Oryzias latipes: one gene and its partner. The protein of the gene in region 2 interacts with the protein of the main gene of each other region in a biochemical or structural test. Links are inferred from orthologs where the notes say so. Each region holds a gene or a part of one and is shown on either strand. Other genes may lie near its edges. The genes, in order: dab2 and fcho2.

Region 1 (8,697 bases), about 240 kb from region 2:
ACGTTTCTTTCAGCAGATAACGACATTTACTTTTCTTTTTTAAATCAGTGGGCAACAGAACTAAAGTAAAGGGGAGTCGGGAAAAGAGGAGGCGTTCTTGGATTGTCTTGCACAGAGCAGCTTGTCATCAAAAGGTCTTAGATGGGAAGATCTCCGATGTTTGTCTCATTCTTTTTATCTGTTTAAAAAATAAGTCAATTAAATGTTTTAATACAGAAAATATAAAGAGAACAGAAAAAAACCCAGACATACTCTGTCAAACTTGAGGTCAAGCAAAAGGGTTTCCAAATGCATCTCCAAAAGCATCAGTTGAAGCAGAATTCTGGCAGAAAAACAAGAAGCAGAGGGAAGATGAGTTTTATTCCATATCAGCATTTCATACTGGGGGAGAAGAAGAAAAAAAACAGTTTCTTTATACCACAGCTATGGGCGGCGCTCCAAAAGGATTAGAATTTGGAGCTCCGAATGCCTGATCAAACATATCCTGGTTGACGCTCGCCGGCTGCGCTGAACTGTTCCCGACAGAAGAGAAGGCAGAATCGAGGAGATCGGGGTTAAAGAGCGGAGCCGGGGCAGCAGCTTGAGCAGGAGGGGCTTTGGAAGCACCTAAACAAAAACACACGACACAGTCAACGATAGCCGAACACGGGAAAGTGTAAAGTCAAGATTCAGAGAGTTTACCGTTGTTAGCTAACGGAATCTGGTTGATATCGAAGTCGTCTTGATCTGCTGCATCCTGAGCCACCCCCACTTTACTGGTAAAGTACTGATCAAAAGCCCCTGGATCTTTGCTGCTGGGGGGTGCAGCAGCGTTGGCAGCAAGCTCCCCTTTCCTTGCAGGGATGGCAGGAGGTTTAGCCAGCTGGAAGTCTTTAAACATATCCTTTCCGGTTTTCTTATCCTTATCTCCCAGAGGATCCAGAGCTGTGAAGGCACTGTTCTCCACTTTGGGAGGCGCTTGCTTGACAGGGGCCCTCGGAGGGGGCCGTGCTGGACCTCCCTGGTCTCCCATTGCTGGGAAAGCACCCTGTTGGAAGGGATTGGATGCGGCATGTTGGCCCCAGGAGAGATGAGGTGGAGACAAGGGTGGGGCATTGAACTGTGGTGGCATCTGCTGAGGCCATGCCGGGGCCACCATGGGAGGCCCAAAGGCAGGCTGCGGCATGAAACTGGGTCTGGGGCCCGGAGCGGCCACCCCTGGCATGGGGAACATGGCTGGCGCAGCAGGAGAGGCTCCCCACATACCAACAGGATGGACAGTTGTGGTAGCAGGGAAGCCCAACTGAAGATTTCCTGAAAAAGGGAATAAAAAGATTAAATTTAAAAAAAAGGCACAGACTGAGAAGAAAAGCCAACATTGTTTTATAGATTACCCAGAGCAGCGATGGTGGAGGGGGGTGAATTTGCAGGCATGTTGTTGAAAAGGTCAGCCGGGACAGATGAACCCTCAGAATGGGAAGGAGTGGTAAAGAGTTCTGTCCCAAACAGGTCACTTGATCCCGACTAACCAGAAAATATTAAACATTTTAGGTCAAGTTACACCCCCAAGAACCAGCGTGAAGAACTAAGCTGTGAAAAACAAAGTGGTCAGAACGTGCCTCACAACTCACCAGAGCTTTCATCACTGAAGCATCAGGGTTAGAAAGACAGATGAGCAGAAATGAGTGAAGGAGACATTTCAGAAATTCAGGCAAAGAAGCGTGGAAGCATCAGTTCATGCACCAACAAGTGTCAAAAGAACCTCAGCTGCAGGTGTGAAGTTTCTAAAGTCTGTCCACCACCCAAAGCTCGGGATGTTAGTGCACCTCGTGCCACAAAAAAAAAGGCTTTTTTGCTCAACCCATGCAACCCCACTTGCGATCCATCTGACCGTGTCGTTTCACCTTTGCATTCCGTCGCCCTCGTCCGGACTTAGAGCTCTGCGGGGGCGGGCTCAGGACAACCGAATCCACTTCCGGACGTGGAGTTACGCCGTTTAAGACGGAGGTTTTCAGAGACGGGTCAGAAAATGGGTTTTTGTTTGACAGAATGGTCTCATTCCCGTCTGTCAAGGTGATCCCACTGCCTTGAGCTATGCTGCCGCCTAGTGGCCACTGTCCATCGTTAAGAGCAAGGCTAATGGTTTTTCCAGACAACCCAATACCTCGGTGACCAATTTCTGCCTCGCCGTTCATCTCGCCGTTACAAACAGTCTTAGTGGAGCCACCAGTGAGGTGTTTCAGATAGTCACTGGGGGAAACGGGGGCGTCACCTGCCGATTTAGCGAGAGGGTCATCTCTAAAAGGGTCACTGTCAGGAGCGGGGAAGTAACCAAACTTTGAAGAAAAGGGATTGGCATCGGGAGACGTCACAGAGCCGAGGCCAAAGGCTAGAAAAGAATTTCCTTTTATGCAATTCTGATTGTCGTCAACTTCAGCAGAAAAGTCCAGCAAGAGCGTTTCATTAGAGTCCTGGTTAAGATGAAACAAGATTCATGAATCACTTCTGCAGACAATCATGTTATAAAATCAATGAATCACATGATGAGGAGAAGGAATGATTGTTCAAGTTCTGCTGCATGTAGAAGAACATTTAAATGTAGCTCATAGTCCAATTTGGAAAATAAACAGCCACCCTAGAAATAAATCAAAATTCTTAAAATTCTAAGAATTCTCCTTACATAAATAATTAAGTCTGACAATGTGGGAAGAAAAAAATAGTTTACCAAAATTAATTTTAAGAAGAAAAATATGTCACTAAGACATGTTTTCTTAAACCAAGACTTCGTTGTGGAAAATTTTAATTTAGGATTTATTTTTTTTGCAGTTTGGTCACTTTTTGGACCCCACTGGTTTAAATGATTTAATTTGACTGAATTTAGCAAATATTCTACATGGAACAGCTTTGAACTGAAATGAACACAAATCTGAAGAAAGCATTTGATTTTTTGACTTTGATAAATTATTTTTATAGAACAAAAATTACAAGAAAAATCCTGAACAGAAATGGCAGAAAAAAAGAAAAGAAAAACAGAATTTTTTTTGTTTGTTTACACATCTAGAAAACACTTGTAGAATTATTTGGGTAAGTCTGTCTTGATACAATAAAAATTAAAAAAAATTAAAATAAAAAAAAACAAAGAAAAGGTAATGAAATTTAAAAATATGTGTCTGAACTTACATTGGGAGCCTGGACGTCTGGAGGAGTCGACATGTCTCCAAAGAGATCCAGCTGCTCTACTGGCTAAATTTCAACCAAAAAAAGTTCAATTTGTTTTTGAATTCAATTTCATTAATACATATTTATTGTTGAAGTCCCACTCCGATCATCTTTTGATCAACTTTCAATCCGTTCTCAGTAGCCTTTTAATTATGATTATGTTTTAGCCAAAATTAAAAGACCTGACGTTTTCTAGGACCGTTTCTGCAGAGTAGCAGGAGTTCATTAGAAATTAATCTCAGAGTTATGGGCAGGACTATTGCCCCCCTCCTTTTGGCTGAGACTCCTGTTTAAACTCTCTCCTGCTAGCTTACAGCCCCTCACACCCCCCAACCTAACATTAACAGTGCAGCAAAATGGTGAGCAAAATCGGAGCCATCCAGCTGTACAGTTTTAAGCCAGATGCCATCTCAGACAAGGAAAACAAAGATGTACATGGATCTATTCGTCTACAGGCGGCTGCATCCGAATAGAGCAGAGCAGGGAGCTTGTGGTCCACCCAGCATAGTTCCTATGCAAAAACTACAATCTGTAGTTCAATCTGTGTTTTGTCTGTTCCTGATTCACAACAATAAGAATACAGAAACATACAGAAATGTAATTTAAGGCTTAATTTTCTTTACATATGTCCTCCATTATCAGAAAAACACAACATATTAAAAGACATGATTTACATTGGAGTGCATCTTTTAGCTGAAAAAAATAAAAATAAACAACTCACCTGAGCAGTTTTTACTCCATTGTCTACACCCATCAAGGCATCACCTCCATTCTAAAAAAATAAAAAAAGTTAGGAGTTGAAACAAACAATGTCTGAAGAAGAACAAAATTCAAGAGCTTACCTCGACTACAACGCTGCCGTTTTCACCCTGAAAACAGAAGCATACTGTTAAGGCGGTTTTCTTAAACACACACACACACAAACACGTCATTGGAGTGGAATGTCTGGAGGATGTGATTCACTGCAGGAACACAGAGAGGCAGTGTTGACTTTCAAAGAGAGCATTTCCTGTCCAACACATGCAAGGCTTTTCTTTAAGGAGAAAAAAAAACTGCCATCTGAACGCAGACGTTACCTTCTGCGAAGACTCTGCTTCTTTTTTCTTCACGTTAAAGATCACCTGGAAAAGGTCTTTCAGGTCGATGACCAAAGGCTCCGCCTGCAAAAAAGAAAAAAAAAGTAAAAAGTTGCTTCATTTTTGCAGTTTTCTTTTAATCTGTGAACTTCTGAGCCTTACCTGTTGCGCGGTCTTTATGGCGAAGAACTGATGCTGACCCTCTGCTCCACACACGTATCCAAAAGCCCTGTTGTCCGTCACATCTCTGGCAATGAAGGAGATCTTATTCACCGCATGCTCATGCTCGATCACCTGGAAAGAAAAGAGGAAAACACCAAATAAGCACGAAGACATGAAGCCCTTAAGGCTGGAAGTCAGTGGGACTTACTCCTGATTTCTCATCAATGATCTTTAGACCAGACATTGAGATGTTGACCCAGATCCTCTGTTTATGTTTGCCCTGAGACCGAGCAGCTACTGCCATTCCCTGCAGGCAAGCAAACAAATTCAAATCGTTTTCATAGAAGATCACAGCAAAATTCCAGCTTTACCTTCAGTTTCATCATGGAATCTTGGCACATCTTGTCTCCTCGGGCCTCTGGAACGTCGTCGATGCCGATCAGCTTGGCCTTGTACCTCACCCCATCTCCCTGAAACCTGCTCAGCAGGTAATCGTCTGTCTTCTCTGGAGCTACGGAAAATTTCAGGGATCCACAGAGTAAGACTTGTGTTCAAAAATCTACTCTATAAGGATAGAGACCAAACTGCAGCTCAACTATTGTATTATCCAGTCAGCAACTTTTTTTTTTACATTTTTTGATGCATGGCCAGCAGCTCCATGTGAAATCAAAGGCTGACTAGCAGCTTCATATTCAGAGCAGACGGGACTTCCTGGAGAATGCCGGCTTTATTGAAACGGAAGCAAACCACAAGTTGCCTCGTTATTATTGAGCTGGTCGAGACAAAAGGTTAAGACGGAATGCAATTATTTCTGTGAAAAAACTGAGTTTACTGTCCAGAATACATACACTTATCTAAATAAATTGGAAAAATTTCCATGTTTGGATTTTAGGCATTTTTACATTTATACACAATTTCCTCTCAAAATATATTGACAGTTTTTAATAACAAAAAAAGACTAAAGAGATTTTCAAGGATGCAGCTTCATCGTGACTTATAAGATTACTCTTTAAAAAAAAAAGCCTTGCTTTTGTGCACAACTCTAGTTTTTGTCTTATATGATCAGTCCATTTCCTTGCTTTTATGTATTGCTGACTTTGGAGCCTATCGAGATTTATCAGATGGTAACAAGTGCAGGGCTGTGGAGGTGTGACTACCTATTGGGATGTCCCTTCGAGTCTGTAACTGTGGTGGGTGAGAGGAGGATGTTAGGGAAAATACAAAACATGAGGAACAACCCTCTTCTTCCTCCTCTGCATGAGACTGGGATGCACTAAGGAGCTTTCTGTCAGAGATTTTAACACCTCGCTGAAGGAAGGAGCACATTTGCAGATCTTTTACCTTCAGCCATTAGACAACAATGCCTCAGATGTTTGTCTTTTTTTTTTTATTGGTGCATTTTCGGTCCTGTTATCCATTTGCCGTTTGTAATTAAGCAACAAAGTAACTTCCCCTTTGTGGAAATCAAAGATTTGTTCTTTTCTACTTGATGTATTTGTAAAAACCCAAGGGTGCAGAAAAACAAATAAGTTAGGTAAGAAGAAAAATACAAACAGGGGGAAAATGATTATTGGCTTAAGCTGAAGATTCTATTTAAATTTAATTAAACAATACATTTCGGAAGAAAAAAAAATCATATGGCTACCAAAATGTATTATTTAGCATGCCACCGACCACATTATTACTGTTAATCTAACGGTTTGACGTAAAGTGAACCCCAGAAATGCCCCAACCTGAAAGGAGGGCAGCCCATCATGTGAAAAGGTAAAAAACAAAATTTTAGGAACCTTACTAAACCATTAAGAGACTTCCTTCAAGTATTATAACTTCATATATTAAAATAAGAGGACTATTTAAAATGCATGGATAAATTTTGCCACCCTTGTTAAAAACATAAGACTGTATTTTGCTTTGAGAACAATGGAGGCATGAAGCTTTTGGCTTTAAGTTTAGCTTTAGCCCCCAAAACTTGACCTTCTGCTTTTAGATTCATTAGCAAAGGCCATTTACTCCAGATTATGCAACAGCCAAGCATTAACATGGACGTAAAGCCATATACTTGTGCAGTAGTGAAGAGATTTAAAAAAAAAACTAAAGTTTCCTTTTGACAGTTTTATATCCTCTCAACTGTCAGCTGACACTCGTCCTTGAAGTACTGAAGAACAAAAACTGCTGCCTTAAAGTTCGTACATTTTCAGAAAAGTTAATCAAACAAGTTTTCTGAAAATGTACGAACTGTTCCAGCTGACATTTGAGCCAAAGAGAGACCAACGATGGTTAATTCAGAAAGTGGGTGGAGCTTTCCAAGGGTGGAGAAGGGGTCCAATCAGAGCAGACAAGTGACACAAAACAATAAAATAAGAAAACGATTCAGATTCATAACTCACTTTTCTTCTTTTCCCTCTTGAACGGGACCCTGGATGTGGCCGTGCTGGGGGACGTGGGTGGGGTCCCGGGGGTCGAGTCCGCAGTCTGGGAGCTTGGATCGACAGTTGCGGGCGCGCTGGTTTCCACCTCTGCAGACATGGCGGGGGACTCGAACGAGTGACAACCTGGGGTAAAGCAAACAGCAGCTCCGGGTTGGAGGGAGCAGGCGATGAAGGGAAAATGAGGCCTTCAACACCCGCGCATGCCTCTCCGCCTAAAACGACACAGGTAGATATTTTTGACGTTAAAAACTGATTTCCTAGAGGATTTCTTTTTTATTTGCACACAATAGGCAGAAAATCTTCATCCCCACCAGTAAAGGTTTACAGCACCAGAACAAGACACATGACCAATAAAACATCACACTCATGAGATCCAAACTCATTCCACTCTTTAAAAAAAAAAAAAAGAAGCTGTGTCAGCAGTTTGACTTTAAAGTAGTGAAACATCCTCAGGATGACACGCTCAAGTCACTTCTTCCGAAATCTGTCAGCATAACCAAACCTCACATCCATAAAAAGCCCTGCTGGTTGCACCCTGACACTCCAAGGGAAATTAACATTTAAGCACTCACTCCACAAATACTCTTGTTTATAGTTTAAATTATATTTTTAGTAGATTACCACCATATTTAAAGCCCTAATAAGTCCGTTTGGGATCCCAAACTAAAAGGTGCATTCAGCCAAATCAAAATAGAACAACCAAAAACTACTCAAATTTGACCGAAACAGCAGCAGGAGCTCCTACCTTTTCCGAGGGGCTGCAGACACTACAGCAACCACAACAGTAATGTAAAGAGCTGGAGCACAGCAGCAGACCAAAGGTTGGGAATGAGCAAAGGTTGAGCAATTACCTGGAGTTAATTTTACCCTAAGCGGTGAGAGGATCTCGTGATGCTCAGGAGTAGAAATGAAAATCAACAGTAATTATATATATATAAAGTTAAATCAGCAGAAGGATGAAAAGTCTGTCTCAAAAGAAAACACTACCCAAAATGAAAGAATTTGGTCAGAGCAGAGCAGCTGGGGTTTAATTACCTGTATAAGCAACACCTGAGCTGGACACTCACAAGTTCCTGCTGGACTATAAAGCAATAAATGTCTTACTTTTTACTCATCTGTGCTTATTTTCTAAGTAAATCAACTTTTTAATTACATGTTTAACCTTTAAACACCAGTGGATGCTTCACTCACTCATCATGCCCAGCCTGACTGCACTTGCTCATCAAAGCAGGAGGAGCCCAATAAAAAAAAGGTGTGATGTCAGCCTTTTCTGAAGATTTGAGCTTAAAAGTTTACTTTTTAACCATCAGGAGATGCGCTAAAGCATTAAACAGGAGCCAAATGATCTCCGTCAGCAAAGAAAGAGATGTCACAATAGTGAGCAGTCAGGGAAAAGGGCAGCACATCTGGAGGAAATCAGGGAATGAGTCAGCCTGCATGTGAATGAGGTGGTGAAACAGCACAGGCCCGGTGTGAACAGGCAGGAGAGGCGAACCCCCAAACGAAACATAGCTTCAAACAAAGAGCCTTCTGTGGTTTTGGAGACGCGCGCACGTTTGCGCAAATGAAACCTAATTTCCGAGGAAGCTGAAAATAGACCCAAAACAGAAAAAAGTGATGCTGAATTGTCTCAGTGACAGCCATAGAATCCTTCATCATGTTGGAATTTTAAAGTTTAAAACCTGCTGCACTCATGGAGGAATCCAGAGACGCGTACCTGTATGAAAGCGCGCAGTGAGACGTTCGATTTCCCGCAGACACAACAGCGGTGTTTTTGCCCCGCGGCGCCTTCAGTGGCTCAGCTGCAAAAATCAGTCCAATCAGTAGCAGCT
Region 2 (9,022 bases):
TTGACCAAAATAGTAAGACTATTATTAATAAATTGAATTTTAATGATAATAAAGCAGGTGTTATTTTCAGATCATATCAATATACCCCCCACCTTGTGGCCTGATTTGAAACAATGATTCCTGATGATTACCTGTTGTGTGATTAGTGACAAGAATTTCTTAAATATTGCAACAAATTAATTTCTAATGACAAATTTATTTTTTTTGCACATTTTGTATTTGTATTTTTGCGCATGTTGAACACCCTTCATTCTTTTGCACATTGCTGTTGTTCTTCTCTTCTTTTTTCTTTCTCTTTTTTTTTGCACTGAACTGCTGTAGCAATTGAATTTCCCCAATGTGGGATCAATAAAGAATATCTCTAACTCTAAGCACTATGCACCTCATCTTTGTCCTTTGATTTGATCAAACCTTATGGATTGTTTAAATGATCAGCACTTGTTATTGTGAAAAAACTATAAATATCTGATCAGAAGTTAAAAAGCAGATAATAATAATTTAAAACTCAATTGTTAGGTAAAGCAAATTAGGGGCTGGATTTTATAAATTAGCTTCCTTCTACTCCTTTTCAGGTAATTAATTAAATTACTTATGACACTTAATATTTAATGGTTTTAAATGTGTCATGTATCAAATGTAAAGTGACAATATGTGCATTTCAGATTTAGAGTAATTATAATAGAATAATTTCTATGTGTATGTGGGTCTATAAGTGTGTGTAAAATAAAAAAAATCAAATCCGATAAATCTAATTATCTTTAAAATAACCTGTTTTTACTGAAACTGAAAGGACTTTGATAAACTATTGTTTAATATTAAGTTTGTGTTTTGCTATATTTTTATTTTACCTACAGCTTTCAATTTTCTTTATGATGTAGAATGAAAATAAAAGTAATCATAACGTATAGGGTGGCAACAAAAAACACACTCCAAGTAGTCATTTTCATATATTTGTATATATCCATATATTACACATTTAATACAGACGATAAGAAATCATAAAATAGACAAAAAGTGACTGAAATATAAGGAAAAAGGTGAGAATCATCTTACACAATGTTGTTTTTTTAGTTGTTTAATACAACAAATAGAAAAGAGAGAAGCTGAATTTAGAAAGAGCTTTTTTTAAAGGATAATCTTAAAGTTGTATCGGGTCAGCAAGAACCAGCTTGCTAATACTGAACAGTTCTAGGGTCTACACAGCCATTTTTAAAATGTGCTCATCTTTTTGGAGAAAAAGAAGCAATAAACAGAATGCTTTCCATTAAGTAAACAATGTTAGATCTTTCTTAGACTGATTTTTTTAAAGTATTTTAAAAAATTCAGAGGCAGAGAAAATGGAAAAGAAATTGTACATTTTTGAAGATAAATTTGTGACCAAAATAAAGGTTTCAAATGCCTTCCAACATCTAATAAGCGGTTTCTTTTGTCGACACCTAATTAAAAATAGGAACTTTTTCTACTATTCTATTGGAGGGTTGCTTCAGGTTAAATGATTATTGTATTAAACTCCTCTCCTAAAAAGGTTTCAGCAATTTGGAATCACAGTTTTTAGACAATTTATGCAACAACAAAAAGTGCCACAGGGCCACCTACTAATGGATTTTGCCTCCAAAAGATATAAATCAGCCTCTGCAGAAGCAGCCCTTCATTAAAAAAAGACAAGAGAGAAGCACCAAGAGTCAAAAGTGACCACATTTTTTGCTTTGCAAAACCTGCTGAAGAAAATCCCAGCATGCACTGGTGCAAAAGGCAAGAGAGGTGAGTGATCCAGCCCAACTTTAACGGCAGAGTTTCTAACCACAGGAGAGGTCCGGATGAGGCGTTTTTTTAATCCCACTGAGACGCTCTGAGCCAACGCCGTGAGGCAGACGGTGACAGCAAACAATCGCAGATCCATCGCCATTTCACTTCTGGAAGATGAGACGCGTTCCCTTCAACATCCAAGTATTAGAAGTAAAAAAACACAATCGGGGCACGTTGGTGCCGCCGTTGTTAACTGCGCTGCGGTGCACAAAAAACGTATAAAATTTAGGTACAATTATCATTTACAGCACACAGAAGGGTGGTTAAAAGTTCAATTTGGTGCAAATGTCCCTGGATGTTTGACCCCTAAACAATCCAACTCTAGAGGGTTTTAAGAAAAACTGATCAGAATCCAGAAAAGGTGATTGTTCAGAAAAAACTAATTACTTTTTTGCCTTTTGTTTATAGTAGAAGAGAAGGCACTGATGTCAGATTTTTTTTTTTTTTTTTTTGCACTCCAATATTGTTTTAAAGGTCAGACTGATGTGAGTAATGTAAAAGACGGATTCCACCTTCATCGCTTCATTGCACATAATTGACACAGACAGAGAAAAACACAAACATCAGTAAAGAAAGCAGGTCTGGGGTGTTATTTACAGTTAGGAGGGAAAAAATGTTTTTTCTTCTCAGAGAAGAGGGAAAAAAGGTATTTGGAGGATTATTAGTGCACTTTTTTTTCTTGTTTTATGATTTCAAATACAATAAAGATTTATAGCTAGTCAATAAATCCTTTCTTTCCTGTACAAAAAGGAATAGATCAGAACTATTAGACTTTATATCTACACGTTTCCTGAAAGCGCATCTTAAGTTTTCTTTTATTCTTTTTTTTTTCAACAGTGTTCAATACTCAGTGCTGCCTTATGTAGTGAGATTCTCGCTTCCTGTGTGAACCGCCGCAGCTCCATTCCCCCAAGTTTTCTGTCAAATAAGGGCTTTTCTTTCCGGTTACCTCAGCAGTCCGCCATGTAACGCCCTGAGGAGACAGACAGATGATTTCTTTTTGAGACGTGGCGGTCTACATGGACCATCAGCAGTGTGGAAGAATGCGACTAACCGGTGGCAAATCTTTTCTTGCTGAGGGAAAGCCTGTATCCAGAGCCCAGCAGCTCCATGTCCACTCCAGACAGGGTGGCGCCCTCGCTCATGAACTGCACTGCCAGAGTGGACGGGTTGGACGGCCCATGTGAGAGATCAAATTTAGCCCTTATAGACCCCGCACCTGAGGGACGGACATGTAAAAGGGGTGAGGAAACTGGACAACTCTTGTTTAAAACACTCTTGTTAAAGTTTGAATGAGCTCACACCTTCGTTTTCTGATTTACTGGAGAGGTCGCTTAGTTTCCAGAGACACTTATTCTGCTCTGAACTCCTGAAATAATAAGGTGGTACAGTTGAAGCTTAGAGGGTTCAGCAAAAGGAAGACGTTCTGGTATGTCCACATGCGCGTCTCACCATATGGAGTTGGGCAGAGATTGCACGCTGGTGACTCCTCCGTCTACAGGGACCAAGACCTGCAGGTTGGTGAGCGAGCCTGGGGAGTCCATGGATTCTGGGTTGTAGCGGTAATCCACCCGCAGGTCTGTTGTGCTTGGTGTGCACTTCCAGTAGACGGCCAGGTTGAGCGGGGTGGAATGGATTCCGTCAGACTGCACCTGAATGCAGCAACATGAAATGTCTAGTTTTTCTGTGACTAATAAAGTTTAACTTGTAACGCAGAAACCCTGCACTTCAATCACTGGGATTCATAAATGAGGGACTCGGCTTTGGCCCGGGACGCGCTGAGGGTGTCAGTGGGTGGAGTCCAAGACCAACATGGAGGAGAATCTGACTGTTATCCTCCTGAACTTTATGATATTGTTCTTATTAATAACAAAAAACTCCTCTAATCTTGTTCTTATTTGTATTTTTTTCCCTCTTTAGATTAATGCGGAACAGTCAGTCATCAAACTGGGTCAAAGAAAGCCAGAAGCACAGCTGAAAGCGTCTGTTATGCAGACACAGCTCCTGCAGTAGATGCTGAACCTCACCGTACTGGTGAGTCTCATGAATCCATGGAGATGCAATTACTGACGCTTTTTTAGAGCTCTCCAAAATAAATAAACCTGATCTCTCAACATCATCCATGTCCTCCATGCCATAACTGTATGTAAGACCATTAAAAGGTGAATTTCTAACAAACTCCTGCTGCTCTGCAGAAACTATGACCTAGAAAACGACTGATGGGGCAGCGGTAGGGCCGTCGACCCACGATCGTAAGATTGCAGGTTCGATTCCCGCCTTGCACGCCCATGAGTCGAAGTGTCCTTGGGCAAGACACTGAACCCCTAATTGCCTCTGGTGGTAGGTTGGCGCCTGTGTTTGGCAGCGGAGCCGCCACCAGTGAATGTGAATGAGTGTGTGAATGTGTGTGTGACTGGGACTGTGACTGTAAAGCGCTTTGTCCTTGTAGGTAGAAAAGCGCTATATAAGTATACGCCATCTACCATTTACAGGTGTTTGGAAAAATGGCATAATCATTATTACAAGACCCTGGGAACGCTTTTACAATAGATAAAAAGATGATCGGGGGGGGGGTTAACCCTGGAGAACCCAAAAACTACTTTTTAGGCGCTTTAAGGTAATTTGATTATTTTTTTGTTCTTTTATTTTGGGTAGCAGCAATGAAGATCAACCTACATAATAAATGTAAAAAAAAAAAAAAAACGAAAAAACAAAACAGCGGCCAAATTAAATTTTGTGGGTTCTCAAAAGTTAACCTGCTAACATGATTTTAAAAATATAAAATCTTTGTTTTTTTTTTGTGGAGCACATATAAACAACATTTAACACATTTTCGTGTTGACTTACAGAGCTGTAGAGTGAAACTATTGTTGAATTTCTGAACGGGACGTTGTTTCAGGCAAACCATGAATGTTGGACCAGAATGAAACATTAGTTTTAATTTATTGAGATAAACAGCCAAACATAAAAACCCCAATGAAGCCGTGTAAGTCTGTGGATGATGGTTTACTTCCAAAAGAAAGAGGATATCAGAGCACTGAAGGTGAACGCTCACTCCAGCAAAAACAGTGCAGATGAAATATGGCAACCTAATCAGAATCATATTCAACGCAGTCGTATTTCTTCTTTTAAGAGGCTCAGATAACAAAAACTTCTCACCTGGTATTTCAGGATGTCCACGTTGTAGTAAGAAGCTGAAGGGTTCTGCTCGGAGGCTTTTCTGAGGTAGGTTGTCAGTGCTTGCATGTTGAACCAGAAACTCTTGGAGTCTGAATCACTTTGGGAAGGGTCACTGGACAAAAGCCAAACACACACACACAAGGAATAATCAGAAGCTCAATCAATCGCTATAGCTTTGTGTGTGAAGCTCCAACAGCTTGGAAAATATGAGGCTGTTATATCCAAGCAGCTACTAAATCGTGAACTTCGGTTGATTTGATTAGCCTTGCCATGTGGTCGGGAGGAACCAGAGCGAAGAGCAAATAAAGATGTAGTTTCTTTATGACTTTCTCTAGTGGCAAAAACAGCCGGCCTTACATATTTAGCACCTTACTGAAAGCTGGGCTGACTGTGAGGTAAAATACACATTCAATACGTTGTGCTCCAACAAACGAGGTGAGAAAGGCAATAAAGTGTTGGATGAGTCTGGTGCTGAATGAAGCTGCAGTTTAATGAAGTGTTTCCTTCAGAAGAGACACGAGCAGCTGAGAACCTGAACGTCTGCGGGAGAATACTTCTCTGACGGCCTAATGACAGCTTTATGTCCTCGTGATAATTGAATTACCCTCCAGTGACGCAGAGGCCACTTCCTTCCAGCTCAAGTCTGTCTTTGACCAGAGCGTTTTGGGGGATCCTCACCTGTGGAGTAGCTGCACGTTGGGGAGGATCTGCTCCAGCCTGCTGGCATTCTTCAGTTTGAAGGTGAGGACAGCGGGGGACGGGTTGGACGTGAAGACTTTGATGATGCCCATAGGGAATGAGAGCGTCATGTCTCCTGTGATCTTCACAATGCACCTGTGGAGAAACCACCAGGTAAAATCCCCTGATTTACAGAATTACTGCAAAAGTGAACAAAAGTTCTCTAAGGCAGTGGTTCCCTACCTAAGGCTACAGACCAGTTTAACCCATCCCTCCATCCATTTTCTTAACCTGCTATATCCCTTTTGGGGTCACAGGGTTGCCAGAGCCTGTTCCAGCTACTGTTGGGTAAAGGCAGGGTTCACCAACAAGCAAACTCCAAATAGAAAGGTCCCAACTGGGATTCAAACCAGGACGTTCTTGCTATAAGGCGAAAGACCACTGCGCTACCGGACCTATATAATGTCAGACGACATATTCATGGAGTGGTCTGAACAAGGCTGAAGTTGGGGTTCGATTTCTTTTTAGCCTCCAGTTTCCCTTGCCTTTTAAGGCAGTCTTCATCCTCTGTAAAACATCTGTTTAAACTTGTTCTCTAGATTTTATGAAAGCACCATTAAAATGTGATCCACATTGTCCCTTAATGCATAACTATCAAAGTAAAAGCTACAAAATCACACGCCAACTTTAATCTTGTCCGACTTTTAAGGTGCGAAAAAACAGTCACTGGAAGTGGTGTTTTCTAAATAGAATATGAATCATGCATCCACCATTTGAACAAATTTATTGGCAGAATTCTCGTAAAATTAGATACTCACTGTTTGTTTGTTTGTACTGAGCCTGTACACGGTCAGTGCAACAACACATTTTCCCGGTCTGGGATCAATAAAGTGTCTTTATCTTATCTTATTAGACAGCCGGTTGCTGAAGATTATGCATTATTATTGTTGTCTCAATAAATACAATTTTGGAGTCAATACTCCTGGTTTCTGTTTGCAAAAGATGTAGTTTTCTTTTATTTTGAAGTTGAAGGCTCTTCGTCCGTTTCCTCACTGACTCTTCTGCCACAAAAAAATATTTCCAAATATGTTTTTTCATTAACTTTGCTGGCTTGGGGATTTCAGTTTTGCTGACGGTGCTGCCGCTTTAAGAAAGTAGCGGATGGATTTTCAACAAGAGCGACTTGGAATTTGTCATTATTGGGTCGGATGTGGTGAAGAGAATCCAGTAGTTTTCTAAAACACAACTTCTTTCAGTTTATAAATAAAACAGAAAAAAATGTGGCTTGTGTTTTTTTTCTATGCAGCTGGTACCAACTTCCCCATGGACCGGTACCGGTCTGCAGCCTGGATGTTGGGGACCACTGCTCTAAAGCACAAAGCACCATCAGAACTGTCTCATAGGAATCCAGCGGCTGCACACGGTAACAGAGAACCAAAAACTAACTTGTGTTCACCCTGGAAGGATAAATACATTTTAATGTAACACAAAAATGGTACAACTGAACAAAACCGATGTCCACAGCAATATTTCCATTACATCCTGATTAAGTTCATATCTTAAGACATTATCATGCAAACAAACTCTTTAATCACCTTTATCTTATTCCTGAAATTTATAGAATGATTTCATTTATCTGAAACATGTTAATAGTTAAACACCTAGTTTGCAATGGAAACAAGCATTTGCAGGAAGCACTTCCTGTGTTTCCTGACGGTTTTATGACTTTTCATCCGCAGACAAAGTTTTTAAGGCATTTGTATCTTCAGTTTTGCTTTTGTCCAACTGTCCTGAGCGTCTTGGAGAGCTAAAAACCACTATGCTGGGCACGTAAACACAGTCACTGCAAATTTTCCACAATGTGCTGATTTATCTACTGTCCAGTTTGATCATTTTTATACATTTTAGTTATAAAAGGAGTTTTAAAAGATCTACTAAAACGTTGGTGTTACAGTCTTCTCTCATTTATTGCGTGAATTATGTTGCCTGCAAAAGGTGAAATTCGCAAAGTATAATTATAGATATTTTAAGCCTATAAAACTCCTCACTACGCACTTTATACCCTTTACTCAGACAAACATGGACAATTTCACTTTTCTCTCTTGTTACAAATGCTCAAAGTTTCAACCTTCATGGAGAAATAAGTCCAGTATTTTAGAATGAAAACAAAGATCTGAACGCCATCAAATATTTATGTAGATTTGGCAACCTGAAGGCACTCCTGTACAGGAGACACAGCATGGAGGATAATAGGTGACAAAGTCAACAGCCAATCAGGAAGCAGAACCCAGTTTGTTGTTAAAGTATAAAATATATATATATTTTTTTAATTCTGCAAAAAAGTGAGACCACGATAAGGTGAACTGCGATGTAGCGACAGACCACTGTAATTGGTATTAAAGTAAAAATAATCCTTTGCAGGATTTTTCCAACATAAACTGCTGTTTAAAGTCAAAAACCAGAATTGTTAATAGATTTATTCCGACTTCAAGTAACTTTTTGACTCGTTCACAGGTGTTGGTGTAGGCTTGAAAATGATTCATCTTTTTATCATCAGGATTTTGTTGTAGAGTAAAAAATGCATTTTCCTTTTCTGAATAAAAATAATTATAAATATAGTTTATTACTTATTCTATGTGTGTAGGGATGGTATAGTTCTTGTGGCGCTTCTGCAACTGCATGAGAGGACTGGATAATATTGGGGGACACTGGGGAGGGGGTGTCTTGGCTGGGGTGTTTGCTCCCCTCTGCTGGTCTTGAACTCGCACAGGGCTTTGGCTGCATAACTTATATAAAAAAAATTCCATTTGCTAATCTCCTGCAAAAATAAGCCTTTTTGCACAGCAGCAATTTAGCGGCAGTTAACCAATAAAAGACTGTATGTTTTTCTCTGATGTGGAATCTGACTCGGAATCTGCTCATGCAGGTAATCCCTTCTGAAAGAACGGTGCCAGACTCGCGCAGAACGTTACACGCATGCAGAACGAGCGGGGTAGAACTGTCTCCCTGCTGCAAGCTGGACTGTGAAACTCCGCAGTGACACTGGAGGTATAGAAAATAAAGTTGCGGTCTTTGGGTTGTCACGTGAGACTCACTTAGTGGGATCAGCTCCTTTGAAGTAGGCATTAACTGACTCTGTGAAGGCCACGGCAATGGGCAAGGCATCTTGGGATGCCAGGGTCACAGGGCTGGGACCGCGAGACGTTCCTGAGAATGAAAAAAACATGGGTTTGACCCAGCTGCAGATTGAAAAACAAACAGAGCAGTCAGGATTAGAAGCATGCAAAAGATGGTTTACATCTTTATGGCATTTCATCAGACGAGGTCTGCATTCAAACGCTGTTATTTTTAGATTTTT

Evidence for each region.
Region 1: the proteins of fcho2 (region 2) and dab2 form a complex in vitro, tested with the Homo sapiens proteins (2 studies listed by BioGRID). The link is inferred for Oryzias latipes from reciprocal best matches to the Homo sapiens genes FCHO2 and DAB2.

Annotation. Positions count from the first base shown.
Region 1 is NC_019870.2:5,119,811-5,128,507, forward strand, and holds part of dab2 (disabled homolog 2), read right to left. Parts: 5' UTR 8,583-8,697; intron 7,631-8,582; exon of another isoform or gene 7,611-7,630; intron 7,078-7,610; 5' UTR 6,963-7,077; coding exon 6,824-6,962; intron 4,948-6,823; coding exon 4,808-4,947; intron 4,744-4,807; coding exon 4,645-4,743; intron 4,569-4,644; coding exon 4,437-4,568; intron 4,359-4,436; coding exon 4,275-4,358; intron 4,068-4,274; coding exon 4,041-4,067; intron 3,971-4,040; coding exon 3,920-3,970; intron 3,223-3,919; coding exon 3,160-3,222; intron 2,451-3,159; coding exon 1,884-2,450; intron 1,504-1,883; coding exon 1,374-1,503; intron 1,294-1,373; coding exon 682-1,293; intron 607-681; coding exon 419-606; intron 323-418; coding exon 269-322; 3' UTR 253-268; intron 179-252; 3' UTR 1-178. UniProt on the Homo sapiens protein: Adapter protein that functions as a clathrin-associated sorting protein (CLASP) required for clathrin-mediated endocytosis of selected cargo proteins.
Region 2 is NC_019870.2:5,364,199-5,373,220, reverse strand, and holds the end of fcho2 (F-BAR domain only protein 2), read right to left. Parts: intron 8,872-9,022; coding exon 8,760-8,871; intron 5,821-8,759; coding exon 5,665-5,820; intron 5,099-5,664; coding exon 4,966-5,098; intron 3,459-4,965; coding exon 3,259-3,458; intron 3,176-3,258; coding exon 3,111-3,175; intron 3,026-3,110; coding exon 2,861-3,025; intron 2,780-2,860; coding exon 2,757-2,779; 3' UTR 935-2,756; downstream 1-934. UniProt on the Homo sapiens protein: Functions in an early step of clathrin-mediated endocytosis. Has both a membrane binding/bending activity and the ability to recruit proteins essential to the formation of functional clathrin-coated pits.